Linked DNA regions of Drosophila melanogaster. The protein of the gene in region 3 interacts with the protein of the main gene of each other region in a pairwise test. Each region holds a gene or a part of one and is shown on either strand. Other genes may lie near its edges.

Evidence for each region.
Region 1: the proteins of Lim1 (region 3) and CG13144 interact in a two-hybrid assay, tested with the Drosophila melanogaster proteins (one large-scale study listed by BioGRID).
Region 2: the proteins of Lim1 (region 3) and disco interact in a two-hybrid assay, tested with the Drosophila melanogaster proteins (one large-scale study listed by BioGRID).
Region 4: the proteins of Lim1 (region 3) and Dyb interact in a two-hybrid assay, tested with the Drosophila melanogaster proteins (one large-scale study listed by BioGRID).

What each region holds. Positions count from the first base shown.
Region 1 is NT_033779.5:10,489,393-10,493,080, forward strand, and holds CG13144 (uncharacterized protein), read right to left. Parts: upstream 2,063-3,688; 5' UTR 1,973-2,062; coding exon 1,097-1,972; 3' UTR 508-1,096; downstream 1-507. Other genes in the region: CG6144 (uncharacterized protein), read left to right, coding at 1-316; Myo31DF (myosin 31DF), read right to left, coding at 2,939-3,107, 3,165-3,322, 3,397-3,688.
Region 2 is NC_004354.4:16,210,720-16,218,568, forward strand, and holds the start of disco (disconnected), read right to left. Parts: upstream 6,032-7,849; 5' UTR 5,532-6,031; intron 2,626-5,531; 5' UTR 2,560-2,625; coding exon 853-2,559; 3' UTR 1-852. UniProt on the Drosophila melanogaster protein: Required for the establishment of stable connections between the larval optic nerves, the Bolwig's nerves, and their target cells in the brain during embryonic development.
Region 3 is NC_004354.4:8,802,797-8,807,754, forward strand, and holds the start of Lim1 (LIM homeobox 1), read right to left. Parts: upstream 3,009-4,958; 5' UTR 2,211-3,008; coding exon 2,168-2,210; intron 1-2,167.
Region 4 is NT_033778.4:12,435,512-12,440,375, reverse strand, and holds the start of Dyb (dystrobrevin), read right to left. Parts: upstream 3,032-4,864; 5' UTR 2,987-3,031; coding exon of another isoform or gene 2,967-2,986; 5' UTR 2,486-2,966; intron 1-2,485. Other genes in the region: Tmem18 (transmembrane protein 18), read right to left, coding at 3,529-3,657, 3,714-3,862, 3,938-4,055, 4,120-4,179.

The DNA.
Region 1 (3,688 bases), on a different chromosome or scaffold from region 3:
TACCGTGCTGGAGTTTGTCAAGCGTGAGGACACCACAACTGAAACAGAAGCTGGAGATCAGACGACCCGTGAAGTGCTCTTCAAGCTGCTGCTGGAACCGCGCAGCCTGCTCATCCTCAAGGACACGCTGTACACCGACTATCTGCACGCCATCTCCGAGACTAGCGAGGATGTGCTCTGCGATCGCATCTCCAACTACGATCTGTGCGAGAATACCTACAAGATCGGGGATCACTTAGTACGCCGATCGCCGCGCATCTCCCTCACCATCCGTAATGTGCCCAAGACCAGCAAGATGAAGCTCAAGTTCTGCTAGGTTCATTCCGCCATTCGATGTTCTTTGGCATTAAAGATTACAGATTACACAGATGTTGACTAGCTGCACGTTAAACGAACCCACTGAAGAGATCCCTGGGATCCAAAAAGAACTATGATAATCTGCAACCTGAATCTTCCGCTAGATGTTAAAGCACTCCGCACTAGCAGCACACTTGTTCGCAAGCAAATCCATGTTGGCCCACACAAAAGTGCTTTATTTATACCGCTAGCATTGTGTACATATATATAAATGTTTGTATTACGTATTACGGAGCAATAAGTTGTCCTGATCGGCGGACAGGCTCGAGCTGTATCCTCAGATTCCACCTGACCGCCGGCGGCCTTTAGATTTAGTTGTGCGAGCAGTTGTTGCAGGAATCCATGGCCTAGATTTGTGAAATATGTGGTTAACTTTGTATATGGGCATGTGCGACAACTGATTTTGATTATGATTGTCCTAATGCTTTGTACAATAGAATCTACACAGAATTTATGTAAAATCTTTCTGATTGAAAATGTTCCTTACGTTAACTACTAAGCAAATCAATTGCAGCCAAAGAAATCATAATGATGATCAGTTGACGAGATACCCCTTATATGTATGTTGAATGGAGCAGCCAGCACACTGGTTACCATAGTCGTGTGCTCCATGCTCCGGCCTCCTGTGTCCAAGTGTATTTTTGTAACCGTTTTTTCCACCGCGCACCGCAAAAAAGAGCGAAGAATTGCCAATAAACGTTATTGTCCACCTAACTCATCCTTTAAACCATTTAATCCACTAGGCCTCCTCATCCAGCCACTCCAGCCGGAACTCGCGCTCAAAGACCAGGCGATCGTACAGCCGCACCTCGCTAATCCTCGCCGAGATGTCCAGCCGCAGTTCGCTGACCGCCAGGTGGAAATTCTGACGCACCGTTCGCTGTTTGTCCGGTGTCAATTGATTGAGAGGTTTGCGAAAGATGCTGATGATGCGCTGCAGATGGTATTCCACGCTGGCACAGCGACCGATGCAAACCCACAAGTTCTCCGGATCGTGAATGTTACCCGGGAAGCGGGTGCGTTGATCGAAGGGCGCCTTGCCGGACAGCAGAGCTCTCACCTCGGCCACGATCTCCTGGTGCGTCCTCAGATCGCGTGTGCTGAGGGTGGTGAACTCATACTTGTCGCAAAAGTACATGAGCTCGGAGATGGCCACCCACGACTGGGAGCAGAGTGTGGCATGGTGATTCGACCAGTTGGTGTAGCCAGCTGGACTGGAGGTCTTGGTAGCCACGGCAGCGGTTGACGAGGAACTTGCATTGGGAGTCGGTGAAGTGCTCGTTGGACTGCCTGTCTTGGGCTTGGGCGTATCCGAACCATTTATGATGGACCTTCTTTCTGTGCGCTGCAGCTGCTCCATTTCCCGCTCGTGCTCCTTGGCCCTTAAATAGGCCTCCTTCTTCTGCTGCAACTCCTGAAGCTTGGTCATCTTTGGTGGCGACAACGACTTTGTGAAGATCGAGGGCGGTGGCGGCGCAGGAGCAGCCTGGTCGCCGTCTGTGTGTGCAATTGGTGTGCCGTTTGTGTCCAGCGATGCACTGCGTCCGTACTTGGCCCTATAGCGCTCCAGCGTGTCCAGCGAGAAGCTGAGCTCCTTCTTGATGGCCTTCTGCATGGTTCTGGTTTTCTGGCTTTATGTAATCACCTTGGGTGCTTCGATGCTCCGAATTGCACGCGTTCCCTTCGAGAATTTACAGGCGAATGCGAGCGCACATTCCGCATAAAGAGAGGCCGATCTCTTTATTTTTATCTTTTATCAATCGGCGGCGAGCCATGTGCACTTTATTTCGGTCTCTGCCAATACATTTTGATCGCATTCGCATACGAATGCGTACGGATTTTACGTTTGGATTTAAAGCAGCATTTGAAAAAGATTCACAGATGCAGAAACTCACAGATATTCAAATGCCGAACGCACATTTTGGGGGAATTCATGACGAAATGACCGAAATTTTGAATGGGTTCAATTCAGATCAAGGTTGGGATAGGGAACTTATGCACATTATGCTTATGTTTGGTAAGTTAACTTCTCTTTAACTTATTGATATAAAAAAATAGTCATTAACCAGCTTTCTCAAGTACAAAGTTTACATCTTTTATTTCATATATTATTTCAATAATATTTGCAAATGGCACACATATGTTTGTGATCTTTCGCTTTAAGTACAAACATTTTACTGATCGTTACAAATGGTTTCTTGTGTGCTGTGAATCATATTTGAAGAAATGCACAAAGTACATTTAATACTTTTCGTTCTTTTCGTCGGCCAGCTCAACCGGCGGAGGTGGTATTCCTCTCACATGGATGTTAAATAAATATCGCCTTAACGCATACGCATAATAGAAAAATGTACAAAATTACAATCATGTCGTCACACACAGAACAGATAAACAGATAGGACTAACTATAGAATGACGTATTAAAAACTACAAAGCGGGTGTTTGGCGGAAGGCACGGTATACACAGAGTCGTCATGTCCTTGGTGGGACACATGGGTCACAAGTAGAAAAGAGGGTGATGAGCCCAGTCTTAAAACTAGGTTCCATAATTTACAATACAGTTGGGCGGAGTTGATTCCGCCTAAACGCAGTACGCCGCCGGCACCTCGAAAATGATGTTGCCCTCTTTAGGACGGAAGTTGGGGACCTCCACATTGGACGCCGCCTCCACGGTAATAATGCGTGCCTTGCCGTCTAGGCGACAGGAAATATTGGTGGTCACATTCACACGCAACTCGGTTCCAGTGAGGCTGGAAAGGATTTGATATTAATATCTGGTGAACATACTAAATGGGCGTTCCACTTACTCATGGTATTTCTTGCACACAATGCCCACCACTTCGCCAATGCGATCTTCCTTGAGGGGCGTGTACTCGCTCTCCAGGGAAAACACTAAATCCTTGTTTTTCGACGAGTGGAAGACGATTAGTTGATCCCGGCCGGGTGAGACACTAATGGACGTCAACTGTAAGCGAAGTCAAGATACGGAATTAATATTATAATATAATAATATAATATATTATTATACTATCTACTAACCTCCCTAATTTTAATGGTGCGTTTCATGTCCTTAAATTTATTCTTGATACCGTCCAGTTTGTGGATGGTCGAATCGGAAACGATGAAGGCGCGATTAGCCTGCTTGTTGAAATGGTTGAACTTCTTGACGAATGAGGAGAAGAGCACTTGCTGGAAGGTCTCGCCGTCGGCGGGGTGGTTCCTTATGTTCTTTATGCTTCCGTTGTAGGCTTCATATCCGCTGTTCTCCTGCGAGTTGGCCAGATAATCACCCACCCAGCGGCGCGCTTGACCCCAATAGGGTCGTCTTCCG
Region 2 (7,849 bases), 7.4 Mb from region 3:
CTACGATCTATCAACCTTTGCGATGGATTTTTATAATTTTGTTTTTTTTTTTTTGGGTTTATTTTTTTTCTTTAGGGATTGGTTGAATTGAATCTCTTCTGGTTTTTTATTTTTTTAACACACGGGGGGGATATGTTTCAATAGAATTTGCTTGCTGTGTTAGTACATCCAAGTTATACAATACAATATAGTTTTATTGGCTACGAAAAAAATTGTCTTAAAACTATTTAATATATGCCATTCATAATATATATTTCGTTATAAATATCAATACTTCGTTGTACACCGATAGAGGGGGCAGGGAAACGGAACCCGTTCCAAAATCCCCGCTTCTGCACTGCCCAGCCCGCTTTTCAGATGACAGACTTTAATTTTTTTTTTTTTTTGGATCCGATCCTGGGATCCCACACACACACACACACACACTCTCATTCATGCATCTGCACATTCACACTGAGGAACGGATTGAATACTATACACTTAGATGTCGCACTACAGTATACATTATACATTATACATAGGTTTCCAAAAAAAAAAAAAATCCATATAACACATGTACGAGCAGAAAAAGCTTAGTTTCGGAGCAATTCCAGTTTTCAGAGGGGGGGGTGGGGTACTTAGTGGCATTGGTTGCGGGTGTTGCGGGGTCGCGCCTGAGGAGGAGTGCCAGCCATTTAATGGTCAAGCTGTGGCACAGCCCCACCACCTGAAGCTCCACCTTTTTGTGTAATGCAGCACGCCACCAAATGTATTCTTCTTAAAATACGATTCACACACAAAAAAAAAATATAAAAACAAATTTGACTAAGGAAATCATCTAGAAATCATCGCCATGGATCAGCAGTCTGGACATTAGACGGAAATCGGCGCATTCGTGGCCGCCGGCGATTGCTGTTGCGGCTGCTGTTGGTGGTGCTGATGGTGATGATGGTGGTGGTGACCCATGTGGTGATGACCCAGATGATGGTGCTGCTCCTGATGGTGGTGGCTCAGGGTCAGATGATGATGCTGCTCCTGCTGGTGTTGCTGCTGCAGCTGGTGATGGTGGTTGTATTGCTGGTGCTGTGTCTTCAGCAGCATGGAGCGGTACATTTCGGAGAGGAGACTCCACATGGGCGGCGAGTCCTTGGCCAGATCCACGGGTGATCCCGCCGGCAGGAAGGCGGTGGGCGGTGCCTGGCTGGTGGCAGCGGCAGCCGCTGCGGCGGCAAACATCTGGGTCTGCAGCAGGCGCAGATGATGATGCTCCTCGAGGTCCAGAACGGGCAGTGGGAGCATTTGCCGCCGGCTGGTCATGTAGGCACTGTCGCTATCCGGGTCCAGATCCATTTTGATGCTCGTCTGTGGTGGATTGGCGCTAGCGCTGGCGGAGGAACTAGAGGCGGAGGAGGCGGCTGCCGTGGAACAGGCGGAGCTGGAGGCGGTGCTGTCGTGACGCTTACGCTTGCCCAGCAACTGATCCATGGAGAAGGCATCGCTGGGCGAGCGCTTCTCACGCTCCAGCTCATGCTCCTGTTCGGGTTCGTGCTCCTTGTCGGATTCCACATCCTGTTCCTGCTCCTTTTCCGCCTCCCGCTCCCGTTCCTGCTCCTGCTCCTGCTCCTGTTCCCGATCCTGCTCCGACTTGCGACGCTTGTGAAGGCTGAAATCCAATGGCTGGTCAGCTGCCCGCTCCTCATCGGCGGCAATGCTACTACTGCTGGCCAGGCTCAAGCTGCAGTGCATCTCCTCATCCTGCTCATTATCCCGTTCGTGTTCCTCCTGATCCTCGCTGGAGGCCGCCGGACTAGAGCTATTGGCCTGCATGTCCACGTACACAAAGTCGTTGTCATCTTCGGGATCAGCATCCTGTTCATTGTCCACCGATCCAGAATCGGGATCCTGACAGCCGGTGGAAAGCAGGCCCAAGCCATGTAGACCCGCCTGTCCGCCGAACATGACGTACGGATGGTGACCATGATGCGGCGGCGGCGGTGGCAGAAGTCCGGGAAAGGCAACCGGAAGTCGTCCGGCGACAGCGGCCGCTGCTGCGGCTGTTCCGGGCGAGAAAACCGGAAACTGCTGGGCAGTGCGGCCATCGTGCGGCGAGATCTTGCGCCGGATGTGTGGCGAATGGAGTTTGGGATTCGGATTGGCGCTATGGCGATTCCTCGAACGCCTCGAACTGAACACCATATTGCAGCCCTCCACCGTGCACTTGTGCATCTCGCGAAGATGCACGGCCGAAAAGTGAATCTTAAGGGCGCCCTTGTCGCAGAAGGTCTTGAAGCAAATGGAGCACTGTACTCGTTTCTTTCCCGTGGCTGGATTGATAAACTGACCGGCCAGATTGATGGGCGGTGAGCCCCAGCGACGAGGCTTTAAGGATGAACCTGATCCAGTGCCCGATCCCGCTGCCGATCCCGATCCAGAGCCACTGGATCCGCCGGGTGAGCTGGCCGGAGAGGCGGCATTTGGCTGCGGGTGTGACGGTAGATGGGAGTGCACATGCTGGTGGGAATGTGGGCCATGGCCCAGCAGATAAGCCGGTGACATGAACGGATTCATTATGTGCTCCATGTCGTCTGTGGTGGATTTTGTTTCTATGGTCGCGCTGGCGATGGCGATGGCGATGACTGGTGGTGCCTGGAAAACAAACAAGAAACAGAAACGAATCGTTAGGAGTGTCAATCAGGGAGTGTCAATCAGGAAGTCAGTGAATCGGTCAGTCCTAATCGAAAACTATTGCCAGGGTTGCGGGGCAAATCCGATTGCGCAACTACAACTGGGAAACTGGAATCAACCTTATCGCCGAGAGTCAGCAGGGCAAATTGTTGAATGGTCTGTGGTGCCGGGGACATGGACATTGACTCCTGGACCTGGGACATTGGGCAGTGGTCATTGATGCGCAATTAGAGTGCGAAAAGTCAAGACGGTCGAATAAGTCAAGGGGAGAAAACTTTATTTTGGGGGGGGGTCTCAATTAATCAGTGGATTACAGCGATTAGTTGGTCATTGCTGTAAGATACATTCTGAAATCCAGATTTAAAAGAAAGTCTTTAAGGCTGCCAGCTGTGTGCTTCAAAAAAAAAAAAACCCCATTGCTGTTCAAATGGCTTTTTCATTAATTAATATTCGATATCCTTAAGATATAGATTAATATCTGAGGCGAATGTATATGTACATATGACTGCATTGCCACGCCAAAAGCACTAATCTATAGCATTGGAAAGCGCTCTAAAGTCATATCTCAAGTGTATTACCGAAATTCCCAAGTGAAAGCTTCCAAGGAGCTTAGCCAACTTTGTGCAAATCCAGCTAGATTTATTGGTAAGACACACACTGCTTACAATAACTCAGACAAGCGAACATTTATATCGGCGACACCGATGGCGGCATATCTTTCATGTCGAGCCGATAGTACAGTAGAACAACTAGAGTTGCCATGTTTTGTATTTTGAAATAATCAAAAGGGGTATCCCAGTGACTGACGCTACATCATTTGTTTAATCTTTATCATTTTGGTTCCTATGCACCCAATTTCTGTCGTAGCCAAGGCCCACTGTACACTAACACTGGCGCATTACTTGTGTAAGTGCACATTGCCTCATTTACTCGAGCGAAATCTTTTACAGCTTTTTCGGTTCTTCTGGCCATTAAAATCGCCTCTGACAACGTCGACGGCGACGACAACATGCGGCGATCAGTGTCGGACTTCGACTTTGGATCCGATCGGTCGGAGTTAAAGCCAAAACCAAAACCAAAAGCAAAGCTAAAGCCAGAGCTAGCTCATTTTTTTTATTGTGGACTCCGTTCGCTACCGTAATTGTGAGCAGTCGACTTGACGTTAAAAACAGAAACAAATCAGGGGTAAAAAAAAAAAAAAAGAAGTGAACCGAACCCAGGGGCGTCACAAAACTGGGGACAATTGCGGTGAGATGCGGATGACGATGGTGATGATCGTGTGTGCGATGTCGTGGCTGGCTATCTGGATTCGATCTCAAAAGTCGAACACACATTCGCATTCGCTTGCCCAATGCCAGCTAAAAAGTTAAGCCGAAAACCACATACGACTATGGCTCACACATACAGGCATACAGGTAACACGCACACAGTTGCAGGAAGCCAGGAGATGGTCGCTTTTTATGGGGCTCATTAGTAACGATGACAACAATAGCATTAAAATGAGTGTATGTACACACGGCGAAAATGCGAAAGCGCAAGAAAAAAAAAAGAAGAGCAAAAAGGGGGGAAAAAAAACTTAATTGTCAGGTACTTGGAAGTAATCAGTTTCTGACTAGGTGCCGAAAATATTGTTACCATTCAAGAAATAGAGAATGACCCAAAGATGTTGCAATAATTTTCTAGATCATTATAAGTTAACTATATCATATGAGTTGAAGGTGCCTATACCTTTTTATCTTCCAAGAATCTTTTAAAAAAGAGATTCAACTCAAAAAAAAATATAGATCTTTTAACATTTCAATATAAAACAATTCAAGATCTAAGCATCATAACAATCTTGCATAGCACAATAAGGCGCAACGGAAAACAATAACAACCTCTCTATTTTCTCTCAGTGCACGCGGTCGACAGATCGAGGTGAGTATGCATGTACATGGGTAATTATTTTTGTCAAACGCTTAAAATGTCTTAAGCCACCGATGGTGAAAGGGGGGGTGATGTTGGGCAGCTGGGGGTAGGGGAAAAACCAATCACAACTTTTGATGGCTCTCGGACGAAACGTTTTTTGATTATCGGCAGTGGCAAAGGCAGCAAAATGTTGAAAGTACCCAAGACAAGAAACGACAAGATTGAAGAATTCCGAGAGTTGGGAGACGCTTTAGATGGTAGATGGTAGATCCAAGATCTGTGGAGTACGGTGTGTGGCAGTTGGGGATGGAAGATGCCGAGATGTGAGCAATCCGGCGGCTATAATTGCTGTTGTAGTTGCTGTTAATAGTAGTACATTATAATAAGCAGGAGTCGATGGGCACAAGGGGCATGCAAGGGGCATGCGATGGTCCAAAGATGACAACGCCGATGGTCCGGACATCAACGAGAAAAACAGAGCTCGAAAACCGCAGACAAAAATCTTAATTACAACTTTGACATTTGGCGTTTCCCCCGAAGACATCACTTTTTTGTCGTCGAAGCTCACGCAGCAAATAGACAAAAATGGGTTTACGAACATTGGATTAACAAGCTGTTTTCAATTTAGCAAAGTCAGGATATTATAAGAAAATCCATAGACTAGAGGTAAAAGATGGCAGCACATCACCAGAGATCCCATGAAAATGGTAATACCATATTAATGCCACTAGCAGCCTATGTGATCCTAACAAGATCATTATTTACCACGAAAAGAATCCTATTGTTGCGTTCCTATTTCATAACACAATTCTTGAATGGGTAATATTTTTATGGCACCAGGATTTCTTTTTAGAAAATACTCCTCTGATCTCGAAAAATATTCACTATGACTTCACTTGAATTTGAATTCTTTGCTTGAAGTGCCGACGGCAAATCAACTTTACTCGAACTATACATACCTTTTGCTAATTTAGCAGCGAGTTGTAGATATTTTATTGTATTTTGGTTTATTGCTGTTTTTTTTTTTTGTTTTAGATTTTCTCACTTTGTCACAGGTTTGAGATTTAAAAAAAGGGTTTCTTTCGCTTTGTTTTGTTTTGATATTTTGTTGCGTAAAAAGTTGATAAATTCAGATGGTAGAATTCACTGTTGGAGCTGTGTGCTGTTGTTGTTTTCATGCCCGTGGTGCATTTATTTTTGTTGCATTTTGCTGAGATATTAAAAAAGTTGGTCGTTCACAGTTGACGATGACACACACACACACACACACACGCTCGTATGCACGCACACTTATGCACTGGGTCGCGCGGCAGAGAGAAGAGTGGACTGGACGCGAATATGCGGATGCGAATATGTGAATATGCGGAGTGGCAAACGAAGTAGCGACGAAGATGCGGATGTGCGGAGAGCAGGGACAGCAGAGATCCACTTCTTCGAATGTCGTGGGTGACACTGATTGTCGATTTGTCGTTTCACCAACGAATTTGTGCGGCGACTGCGACGCCGGCAGCGCAGCGGGCAGAGAGCGAGCGACAAATGCGGCGACACCGACACCGACACACCGACTGACTGACACAAACACACACGCACACGCGGGGTGGGTGACATTTGGCTCTCTCTCGCTCGCTCTCCCGCTCGCTCTTGCGCCCTCTCTCTTTCACTCTTTCGCTCTTGCACCTGGAAGAGTGTGAGAGAGCGCGCTATTGGAATTGGCCTTCGTCACATTGTCGTCGATGGGTCATTAGGCACTCGCCCGAGTGCGAGCGAGAGATCCGCCCGCACTTGAGTCCATCCCGCTCGCCCAGTCGGCAAAGCAGTGCGAGGCAAGAGTAGCCACCACTCTCTTACTCACGCCGCGAAAGAGCGCCGTCCCGTGCGTGCGAGCGGCTTGGCACGCTCGTGCGGCTATCTCGCGCCCGCTCGCACACTGTCGTCTGAGTGGACGAAACCGTTTCGTTGGGTTGACACATGCGACATGCGACGTGTGTGTGTGTGGTCAGTGCGGCACACACATTCACACGCACTGCCGCCAGCCAAAGAGAACGCAGCGCTCGCTCTCGCCGCTTGCTGGTATGGGTGCCTTGGGTTCGATGGTGTGAGTACATGGCCGGGCACTATAGTGTGACAGAGCGAGAGAGAGGGAGCCGGAGCACAAGAGCGCAAGAGGGAGAGAGCAACGAGAGTGAAATGGCAATGGCCACAGTATACAGTACACAGTACGTAATTTGTCGCTGCTGCGACGTCACTTTTTGTCTTGGGCTTCTCCTCTCTGCTTCTCTTCACGAAGGTTCTTTTGAAATTTTTGTCATTTGATGTCTTGTCCACTCGGTGCTGTGCCCTCTCGCCGTCCCTATCGCACCCGCACGAATGGCCGCGTTGAGCGGCTCTCTTTGTTTTGCGATTGCGCTGTGCATCTGTATGGGTGTGTGTGTGGGTGCGAATGTCGCTGTATAGGTGTATCTGTGTATGGGTGACACTTTGGCAATGGGGGCGATTCGCTTCGATTTTTTTTCCCTGTCGCCACACAGCACCAATGGAATTCGAGCACTGGTGACAAAGAAGCGACGCTGCTGCTTCCTCTTTCCACCCCACACCCCTACCGCAGTCCCTCAACGATCCTATCACCATGACCGCCCCCACCACCACTATATATGTATGTACATATGTATGCATGTATAACTTATGTAAATTGCACAGCTTCGGTATGTAAGTGCCTTATGTGATAGCAGCACCTACACACATATACACAGCTCCTTGTCGTTTCATTGTCCTTTTCATTGCCGAATTAAAATAATTCTCACCCACACTCCCACACAGTATATGTATGTATTTGCTAGACGCCGGAATGTCCCACATAAGGATACAAAAGCACACATACATATTTGGCCACATTTGTTCTTCAATTTATCCACACAAGTGTCCGAGAAAAGTTCTTAAAGCGAAAAAAAACCGTACGGAACAAATCCTATTTGCATTAATCACCATAAAAAAATATAACAATAAGGACCGCATTATTATGTTGCATACCCACAAGGCGTTAGCATCAATGTTGGACTTCCAGGAAATGGTCAGGACTTAATAAAAAGCACTCTCTTAACATTCAATATCTTTAAGTATTACATATCATACCATACGTTTAAATGGTATATAAGGTTCTAACTAAAATTCATTCAAGTAAGTTTACTTACTACTTATAAACCAAACCCAAATCAGTTTCTTGTTAACCTAAAGCTTTAAGCTTTAAGGCTTCTCAAATACAATGCATCACTCATTCAAT
Region 3 (4,958 bases):
CATAAAAATTGAAAAGATGCTGCCACCAAGATATATGCGAAGAAAAATGAGCAGTCGACCAGAGAAATGGCCGATGATATTGGTAATTGAACGACGAGGGGTTACCCTATTCTATTGAAGTTTTGAAAACTAAATTCCTTAAGAATAAACACATTACCAAAGATTCAACGACCTAAATTGGTATCCTATCTTAAGTATTTCCAATACATTTTTTCCATCTCATTTCAAAACCTTAACTATACCATAAAAAATTGGATATCTTTCCTGATTCCAAATTACTTTACGAACTTTCGAAAAAAGATACAGCTACTGCGCGGAAAAGTTATCTTCATTAAGCCGAGTTATATTCAGTGGTACTTTACTTTGTAGTTTTCCCCAACTAAATGCAAGTTAAGTTCATAACTGCCAACACTTAGTCATTAGCTAATGGGTATGTCTATGAGCGAGAAATAAAACAAAAACAAAAAAATCCAACCGAGAAACAGTAGAAGCAGGAAGAAGAAAGCTTGGCAGCTTTACGACTCCACTTGGCATCAGTCCGCCGTCGTAAGGTGGCCCACTGTGCGGGTCTACGGCTTCCTGAACATCCATTTTCCAGTCAAATGTCGACAGCTTTTGACTTGAACCGCCCCCGGAGCTGCAGGCCCCAAGCCCAAAAACCCCAACAGTTCTCTAGCCAATTTATGGGGGAAGTAAGGTGTCGGCCGCTGTATGTCCAATGTCAACAAGTTAAATGGAGAATTTGCAGTTGCAATTTCCATCGAACCTCACTGGTTCGAAAACGAAGCTATTGAGGATTTTAGAATATTTTTGAAAAATTTTTTGTGGTATAAAATACCTTACTACATTTTTACTAATATGTACTTAAATCATTTCTCATTTCATTTCTTTTGATAAGAATCCAAAATATACTCGAAAAGAGTGTTCGGTCTCTAAATCTCTGCAGATCCTTAATTTTGTAGTTTATAAATGTTTTTTATAGTTATTCAAATTGATGGGGAGCTACATACATACATATAAACGAAATATTCCTCACCAACTAATCACAAAATACAAAACTAGAGGGGAGCCTTCATTTCTGAACTTTTTGCTCCCTTTTTACTATTTTTTTTTTTTTTTTTTTTTTTTGTTCCTGACATTAAACAGTCAGCAAAAGTGAAAATTTGACAGAGAGCAAATGAAATAAAACAAAAGCCAAAAAAAATGAGATGGGGTAGAGGAAGAACGGCAGAAGAAGAAGCTGAAAAACTTTGACAACTGCGCAAAAGTTTTTCAGTCCAAAAACGAACGGGAAAACAAGAGGAGGAAAAACAAAACCGAAACAAAAACAGATGAACAAGAACTTCAAAAGCATACAAAATGGTAATGCGAAAAAGAGACGGCAGATGGACGACGGGGCATTAGACGCCCCTCTCCTCCTCGCCGGCGGTCCCCTAAAAACGGGAAGCAAGTTCAAAAGTGCAAAAACTTTGCTGCTGCCCAGCCGTCGCCATTAAAAACTCCTTGGCCATCTTAACCCATTGCGGGCAAGCGGTATTGTATTAACCCACCATCCTAGGGATCGCATTTCGCCGATCCTTCAAGGGGTTGACTTCCTTTTAAGGACTTTCGACCGCACTCGACCCTACTTTTCTTATGTCTTTCTACCACCAGTTGAAAATCTAAGACCACATCCCGTCGGCATAGCGATCAAGCCATTTTTAATAGATTCCACTTTTTTGTCAGTACATTTTTCGAAAATTCACTTCTTTGCCATCTTTTAAAAGTATTTTTGAAATGTGTCATTGGTGTCATTGATCACTCGTCTACAGATTTTATAAACAATTTAAATATTATACGAAGCCTACAAACAGGTGTTTTCATTCTATTTCGATAGAGGACATCATGAATATTACTTAATCTAGATTAGATGTAAACAACTTCTATTTTCGATCTGTAAAATGTTTCATCCTTGACTTCCCAATGATATTATTCTATAGAACTACAAGCACAACTCAAAGATTTAGTGCTGATTCTTGGATGAAATGATTTCGATTGCAGTATCCTATATGTGACTAACCTTAAGAACTTGCCTGTTTGGGATTCTCACTGCAAACCCCCCAGATTTTCTATGTTTTCCTGGACCCTTAACCGCTTAATGCCTAAATTCCCCAAAACGATCACTTACCGATATTGTGCTGGCTGGTGTGTAGTACCGCCCCGAACGCCATCAGATGGTCCTTGGGCGGGGGGGCGCGGCTACCGAGGGCGGCGAACCCGTCGCCCAGATATGACGCCAGTGCGACGGCCCTCAGGGGCGCTTTTGAGGCCTCGGTGAGAATTTTGTTGTCGAATATCTTGATGCCGGGGGGATGGAGTTTTTCTTTTTTTCGGGGGGGTTAAGAGTGACTGCTTTTTTGGGGGGGCCGTCAATGGGTTAAGTCCCGCGTGTGTGTGCGTATGTGAACGAGGCGCGCGTGGGTGTGGATATATGTGTGTGTGTGCGGGTGCGGAAGCGAGAGAGAGAGGGAGAGAAAGATAGGAGCGGGCCCCAACTGCACACTTAACGGTTAACGCACATAAAGACTGGGTGGCAAGGTGCGAGCAAGAGGGGGATAGCACGTGTGTGCCGGCGGCAAATTTGGCAAAACAAAAACAAAGCGCGAAATTCCGCTCCTCTTTGAGTTGAAGAAACTTCCTCCGCTTCTATTATGCCTTATATTCCAGTATTTCTTTAGTTGTTGTATATGAAATTGATTCTTTTCTTTTTAAACACTTTGCACTATCGGCTTTTCGGCGATTCCTTGGTTTTGTTGTATTTATGTGTTGTATATTCTTCTTGTTGTTCAAGATTCTCACTTGCAAAAAAATTTGAACAACGGCAAAAATTCTCGGTTTTCGATCTCGCGGCGGAACGGTAAACAGCTGACTAACGGTAAACGGCTGCGTTGGCTCCTTTTTCGAGCGTTGCCTCGTGCGCTTTGCGTTTTGCGGGCGCTTCACGCGAACGTCAAACAAAAACTGAAAACGGAAAACGGCAAACGCGACGGCAAAGCGGACGGCCCGATTACCGATAGCTGCCAGCCGAGCGCACACGCACACACACGAACGGCGAGCCGAAGCGGCGACGAATGGCGCGCCTGGGTGCGAGCGAGATGCTAGCAGGCGCATCGCTCGCACTCGTGCTACCGAATGCGGCAAGCAGTGCTCGCATATTTCGCCTGCGCCAGAGCGAGATGCAGCGAATGTTGAGCTGGGGCTGCTGCGACGCCGACTGCGCTGCTGGCGGCGCTGCAATGGAGTCGCAGGCTCTCTCGCTCTCGCTTCCGTCGCTTCTCCTGGCTCTCTCGTGTTGGGCATGAAGAAATCATATTATTCTTAAATAAAAAAATTGTTTTTCAAAACGTTTTCTAAAAAAATGGAAAAAATATGACTAGAATATTTGGTATGCATATCTAGATTATTATTAAAAATATTTTGGAAAAGGATATACAATTTCATAACAATTGGAAAAAAATATCAAGAAATCTTAATTTTTTTTCCTTTTTTAGGATTTAATTTAGGTGATTGTTCGATAATACACAATATAAGTTCTTTGAAAATTTTGATATATTTAGCATGATAACTAAATATTTAGTTAGCCTTACTAGATGCTTGTTAGATTCATAAGATTTTAAAAATCCAAAAATTCACTTTTTTTTTAAATTCTACACACATTCTTCTGTTGATCTTGGGCTTTTGATCCTTTTCTCAAGATTGGTGCTGGCGTTGTTCCTGTAAGGATATTTTTGGTTTTTGTTGCTGTTGTTGCCCTTCCATTTTGCCCATTGTTGTTGCAACACTGGCTCTCCTGCTCTCCAGCTCTCTTTTTTGCGGTTAGAGGGGGCGTTGCTAAGCAACTGGTTTTTTTATTGTTGCTTCATTGAGAGATGCGCAAAATGGCGCTCTCTCGCTCTCACGCTCTCCGGCCGTCGCGCCCTCTCGCTCACACTCGCTGGCCGGGCCAATGGCATTTTTCAAAGTGACATTTGCCCGCGTTTTGTCCCTTTCGCACTTGGCGGTGCTTGTGTGCGTGCCAAGGTAAAATGTCAAATGCTTTTCGACTGTCAACTGTTGGTCGCAAAAACTTTTTTCTTTCCTTCTTTTTTATTTTTAGTTGTTGTTTTTGTTCGGCTGCCTCTTCTGCAACTTGTGTTTGTCACTTGTCGTTAGCAGTGCGAAAGGGAGAGCACTAGTGGCGGGGGGTGGTGGGGGCGTTAGCTGGAGAGGGACGCCCCTTTGGCGTTTTAACGCACTGGAGACAGCAAGAAAAAAAAACGGAGGCGAAGAAAAAAAAGCAAAGAAAAAGTGTTAGATAAATTGCAAGTAACAAAAAATTAGTAGAAAAAAACATTTAAAATTGTGCAAAATATTATATCTTTTTCTTTTTCTTTAACAAATGCAATTTTAATAAGCTTTCGATTTAGATAAATCTATAGCAAGACACTTATCGTAAAAATAAACCAATACAAAAACCAATAAAAACCATAAGAAATAATATAGGATTCAAATTGCAAAAATGCCAAAGATCTAAACAAACAACAAGAAAAGACAAAACTGGATAAAATAAAAAAAATGCATAAAATAAGTGAGAGTAAAAGAGAACGCATTATAAAGGTCGGGGAGGAGGCTCCCGCTCTCATTCACTCCTTACGGTCTTCCCTCTCACTCACACTTCGATAGGAAGAAGAAGATGTTCGACACAAAATAAGGGGGCTGTGGTGGGTTAAAGAGCGCCGTTTGCTGTGTGCGTGGATGTGGGGTAGTCAAAAATATTGCACATTAGGGTGTTAAGCTGTGAAGTGCTTGCTTTTTGTTTTTGCGTGTGCGTGTCACTTTTCACTTGTTCTGCGCTATCGAAAAGTTATCGAAATCAGTTGATCTTTGACGGCCTTGAAAACTGCTTTGCCCCAAATTTAGTAAGAGCAAAAGGGATGAGG
Region 4 (4,864 bases), on a different chromosome or scaffold from region 3:
AGGAGGTCGGCGCCGCTAAATGCGATTACAGCATAAACGATTAATTTTATTGCAGTTAGCCGAGCCGGGACGCTTGTTCCATAAACTAATTAAAGCCCAGTGGAAAGTGGACAGTGGATACATTCGCCGCTGACTTCAAAGAAAGGGTTAATTGTGCGCCTTGTGCGGAATTGGTCCCCCTTTTTCATTCCGCTCTCTTGGTTTTCCATTCTTCCTTTGTCTTTTCCGCAGACAACTGGGCAGTTTTCTTCGTTTTCTTTGTTTTCTAGGCCGAAATTACTCCGTGGCTAGATTTGGTGGGCACCACGTTCTCGTTCTGCTCCTCGACGCTACTATGGCCATTGTTGTGGCGGCTGTCATGTTGTGGGTGGCCGCACTCAGCTCTGTTTGTTTGTTTGTTTTTTTCTTTTTTTTTCCATGCTGCTCTGCGTGTTTGTCGCTTTGCTCTTTTTTCCCCTCTGCCTTCTTTTTCGTGTCACGCCTCATTTAGCTTTTCACAACATTTCCAAATTTCCACCCACCCGGTCGACACGTCGCATCGCAGCGCACGTAGTGTCGGAAATATCTGGGGATGTGGAGCAGTGGTGCCTAGTCCTCTGCACTCTCGGCTCTTAGCAGCACACATCAAAATTAACCGAAATAACCAGTGGGATGCGTGTATGCAGCTCTGTATCTGTGAACTAGATCGAGTCGCTTCGTCTTCAGATTGGAATGCCCCTCGTAATGAGCCACAATATGTTCGAGTTAATTGCATCGGATCGAAGTTGCCGCGGGGGAAATATCAACAGGCAGGCAATAGAGTCACGGTAGGCTAGGCAATTTTCCATATATAACGAATATTTGATCGTAATGGATATAAATGGATATAATAATGAGTTAAAGAAAGGCACCCCTGTGCGCAAGCTTTTGAGAATAGCTACCACTTAACAATTTCTTAGCTTACAATACAAGCCAGTAGTTAACTCAACTTGAATGCCATATTTTTCTGGAGTGATTCTATTTATGTAGGGGTATATGTAGCAACCACTTGCACTACACTTCAACACCTGATTTATGCATTTAATCGTAAAATTTAAAGATCGTCATAATGCCAATGAGTCGTAAAAACCAGCCAATTAAAGCCACTTAAATTTGGCAAATGGCAAGCGCACTTTTCCAAATGCATGGCTTTGATTTAATACCTGTGATAAAAGCAATGCGCTTAATGTTGGATCGTGGGATTATCTAGTGATTGTTCCGATTGCAGATAGTATTCGTGTATAGATGAGGGGCTCGAAAGTGAAACTCGCTGATATCGCAAGAGCATTCGATCCATTTTACTTGCCGACTTGTAGGTGGTTCGGAATGCCGCTTGGCATTCGGGTTTGAGCTTCGTTTTGAACTTCGGCTTGGCGCACCTGCCACGAGTGTTCCCCCTCTCATTCTCGCTCCCACTCCCGCACTCGCTCGCAGCCCCCTCCCTGGTGGACTCTCTCCTTCGCACCTTCGCGCGCTTGTTGGTGGGCCGGGCGAGCAGCCGCCGTTTTTCAAATGCTAAAATTGGCGATTAGTCAAAATGATGTCACCGAGTTATTTTGATTGTTTTTTTTCTTTCATTATTTCTATGTATTTATTTCGCTTGACTTTGGCATTTTGGCGACACGCTGACCATAAATTCCGTATTATTGTTTTTCCTGCTATTCGATATCACCGATTGCCAAAGGTGGGCTAAGATACAAAATGCTCTAATCTAAACACCAAGTTGCAGTGTGTGTGTGTGTGACTTTTCATTCGCACGACGCTTAATTATTCGCTGAGCTAATCATTTCACCGACTGCCATATGGCGGTATGTGATCTAATCTCAATGAGCAAAAGGTCTAGTTATTAAGGCATGCGGCTCAGTTTGATATGGAATTTTTCAACTATGCGAACTTGGATGTCAACCAGACGCAATAGTTAAGGAAATTCATTAAAACTTCAAACATTTCAGTTCCTTAAACTTATCTTGTATGAAGTATTATAGAGGAGATATCAATATACCCGTTAAGCTTTTTAATATAATTTACACAATTTCATAATTTCGTGAACGAGCGAACATGGGGCGTGGCGTGAACCACTAGACTTTCCAACGGAATGCAAATAGTTTAACTATGGTTTCCCACATAGCAAAAACAACCAAATCCGAACTTTCCTCCTAGCTGCCCGCAAACATATTTAGTTGTAAACTAAATTCCAGGCGCAACCACAAACAGGCTTGGTTCAAAGTGTGGAGGGGAGGGGGGAGTGTTTTGGGAGTGGGCGCAGGGGGGCAGACACTTTTTATGAATGAACACTGTGCGCTGCGTCGCCAACGCGTCACTCATCCGAGTTTTCCTATCGCGGAAATCTACTACGCATTTCAGTGGGTAAGTGAGGGGGGTGGAAGGGCAATCTTAGCAACATTTTATTGGTATTGTTTATGCCCGGGAATTTGGTAATATAATCCGCACATTATTTGTTGTTTACCTTTTGTAATTAGCAACCTTTTTTAATACGTCACTTTTTGTTGGGCTGCGCGGAGTTGCTGCTTCTTCTTGCTGCTCTTTCTCCTCCTTCTCCTGTTTCTCTGCACTTATCGCGTTTTATTTTCACCTGCTGTTTACACACAATAAACGATGAACGGTAAACGGAGTTGCCAAACTCGCGTTAGCGAACGAGAGAGCAAGATGCAGCGCCGAGATAGAGAGCGAAGATGCTGCGCCCTTTTGGCCTTTGGTAAAAAATATGGTAACAGAAAAACTTCTTTTTTTCGGGCTACGCTTATGGGCTCAAAACACATACACACCGACGGCAAAAACGCACACACACAAGCGAGCTCGCAGGAATTTTGAGCCTGGCTTTAAACCGCAATGCTATGCAAAACTTTTTTCTGGCTTGCCAACGGTAAATACGCAGCGCGATTTGCGATTAGCTCCGTGCGAATATCTTATCAACGGATTTTGTTTACCCAAAAACCACTTCCAACATTGCGCCGCGACACTGCTTCGACACCCACAAGCCAGCAACAACAAAATCGTTGGACAGTGTTACCAGACGACGAAGGGCTCCCAATTGAATTCGTACTAAAAAATGACACAGGTCCAACGAGCTTCTAATTTGAAATTACAGTCTTGGCACACAGATCAGAAATTGATACAGGCAATAAGCTGATTGGATCTATAATGTTAATTTCGTCAAAAATATCAAAATAGTTCATATTACGTGATATATATAGAAAATTTTAGGTGGCAGTAAAAACTGCTTTACCAAGGTGGCAACGGTAACTGGTGTGATTTTTTGCTTAATATGAAGGGCATGTTAGGTTTGTAACTTCGCTAAGTAAAACAGGATGTAAAAATAGCCTAAATTTACAAATTCTATAAGTTTGATTATACTAAATTAAATTTATTTTAAAGACGAGAGCTGTGCAGCAAACTACATCTAGATGACAGGAAAATCCATTTAAAGCATAACATATAATTTCACAGCTCTACTTGTGCTTTTAACTGCATGTAATACAGGCGTAAGTTCTACTCTGCCTTTTTATGTGCTATGGATTCCGAATCCGCCTTAGTCTGGCGTTCCTTGCGAGCTCGCTCCTTGAGCTGCGCTGTTTTTAGAGTCACCATCAGCTGCGTGGAGTTGTAGAGCCAAGTGCCCTGCAAATAAGCAAAGATAAATACACACTTCATGCAGTGGAAACACTATAACTTACAATCAAAAGCATGCAATTAAGCAAAATAGGTATTGAGAAAACTGTCGAGATAAACAGGCCGTTGCTATCGAAGTATTGTTGTCTGGAAAAGGAACTCCAGTTGTTAGCAGCGAACTCATTGATGCTTTCGGTGAAGTAGACTGCCAGCACTGAGGAAGATGAAGCACATGCAAAAATCAGAGTCATTTATCGGGTAAGTCAAGGAAGCCGCCAAGTCCACGTACACAGTACTAGGAAGAGGAAAACCTGGAAGTTGGAGCTGTTCCGGCTGAGCAGCGCAGTGGTGGTGGTTAAGATATGCGCCAAAATAAGGCCAATAAGCCAGGGATCCTTCCAATCGATCTGCAAAAATAGTGACAACTTGCCGGATTCTTGATTTTTGATTGTATATAGGCGAGTATCTTACGCTCAGCAGAAATGTCCAATAGCCATTGATCTCGTTGACCTCAATTTGCCCTGGGTGCATCGTACAGATTTTTGTGAATATAAATGTTTCCTGTATATATTTTGCGATATATTCGAAAGCCGAGTCAAAACAAACATAAATAGCCATTCGCAGCGAACAGCTGTCATTTTTCATGGCAACGCCATTTTGGGAGGCCTATAGACGTTCAGGCTTCCTCAATTTTGACTGGATCTGGTAGCGCTGTTTGTAAGACCTAACTTACTATTTTATGGGCTAAATATAACAACATAAATCAAAATACTATTATTTCGTTTAGTATGTATTACTCACCATATAAATGCAATTACAAATTTTGTGCCACCTCATTCTCACCCACCCCGACTTGTCGTGCAGAGTCGCCCTGCCCGTCATTCAGTCTGAACGTGTCGATAACGCTTTCACTGACTCAGTAGACAACATTAACAAATCCGAAAAATATCACAAAGAATTCGTTTTAAAACAGTCAAAATTGTAGTTTTTAGGGCGAATCAAATCTATTCGGGTTATTAAGTCGAACGGGCGACGTGTGAGCAAGCAATCGAAGCTAAAGCCGAGCAGGGTAATCCGAAAAAAGGGGCGCCTTAGATGTGGCACGGGCCACCGACCCTACCGTGCACCACACTCGTCTAGGACTCTGTTCTAAAGCGCTTGTGGCGGGAGTTTCTGGCCAGGATCGGGCAGGGATCGAGGCGCACTCGAGACCCGT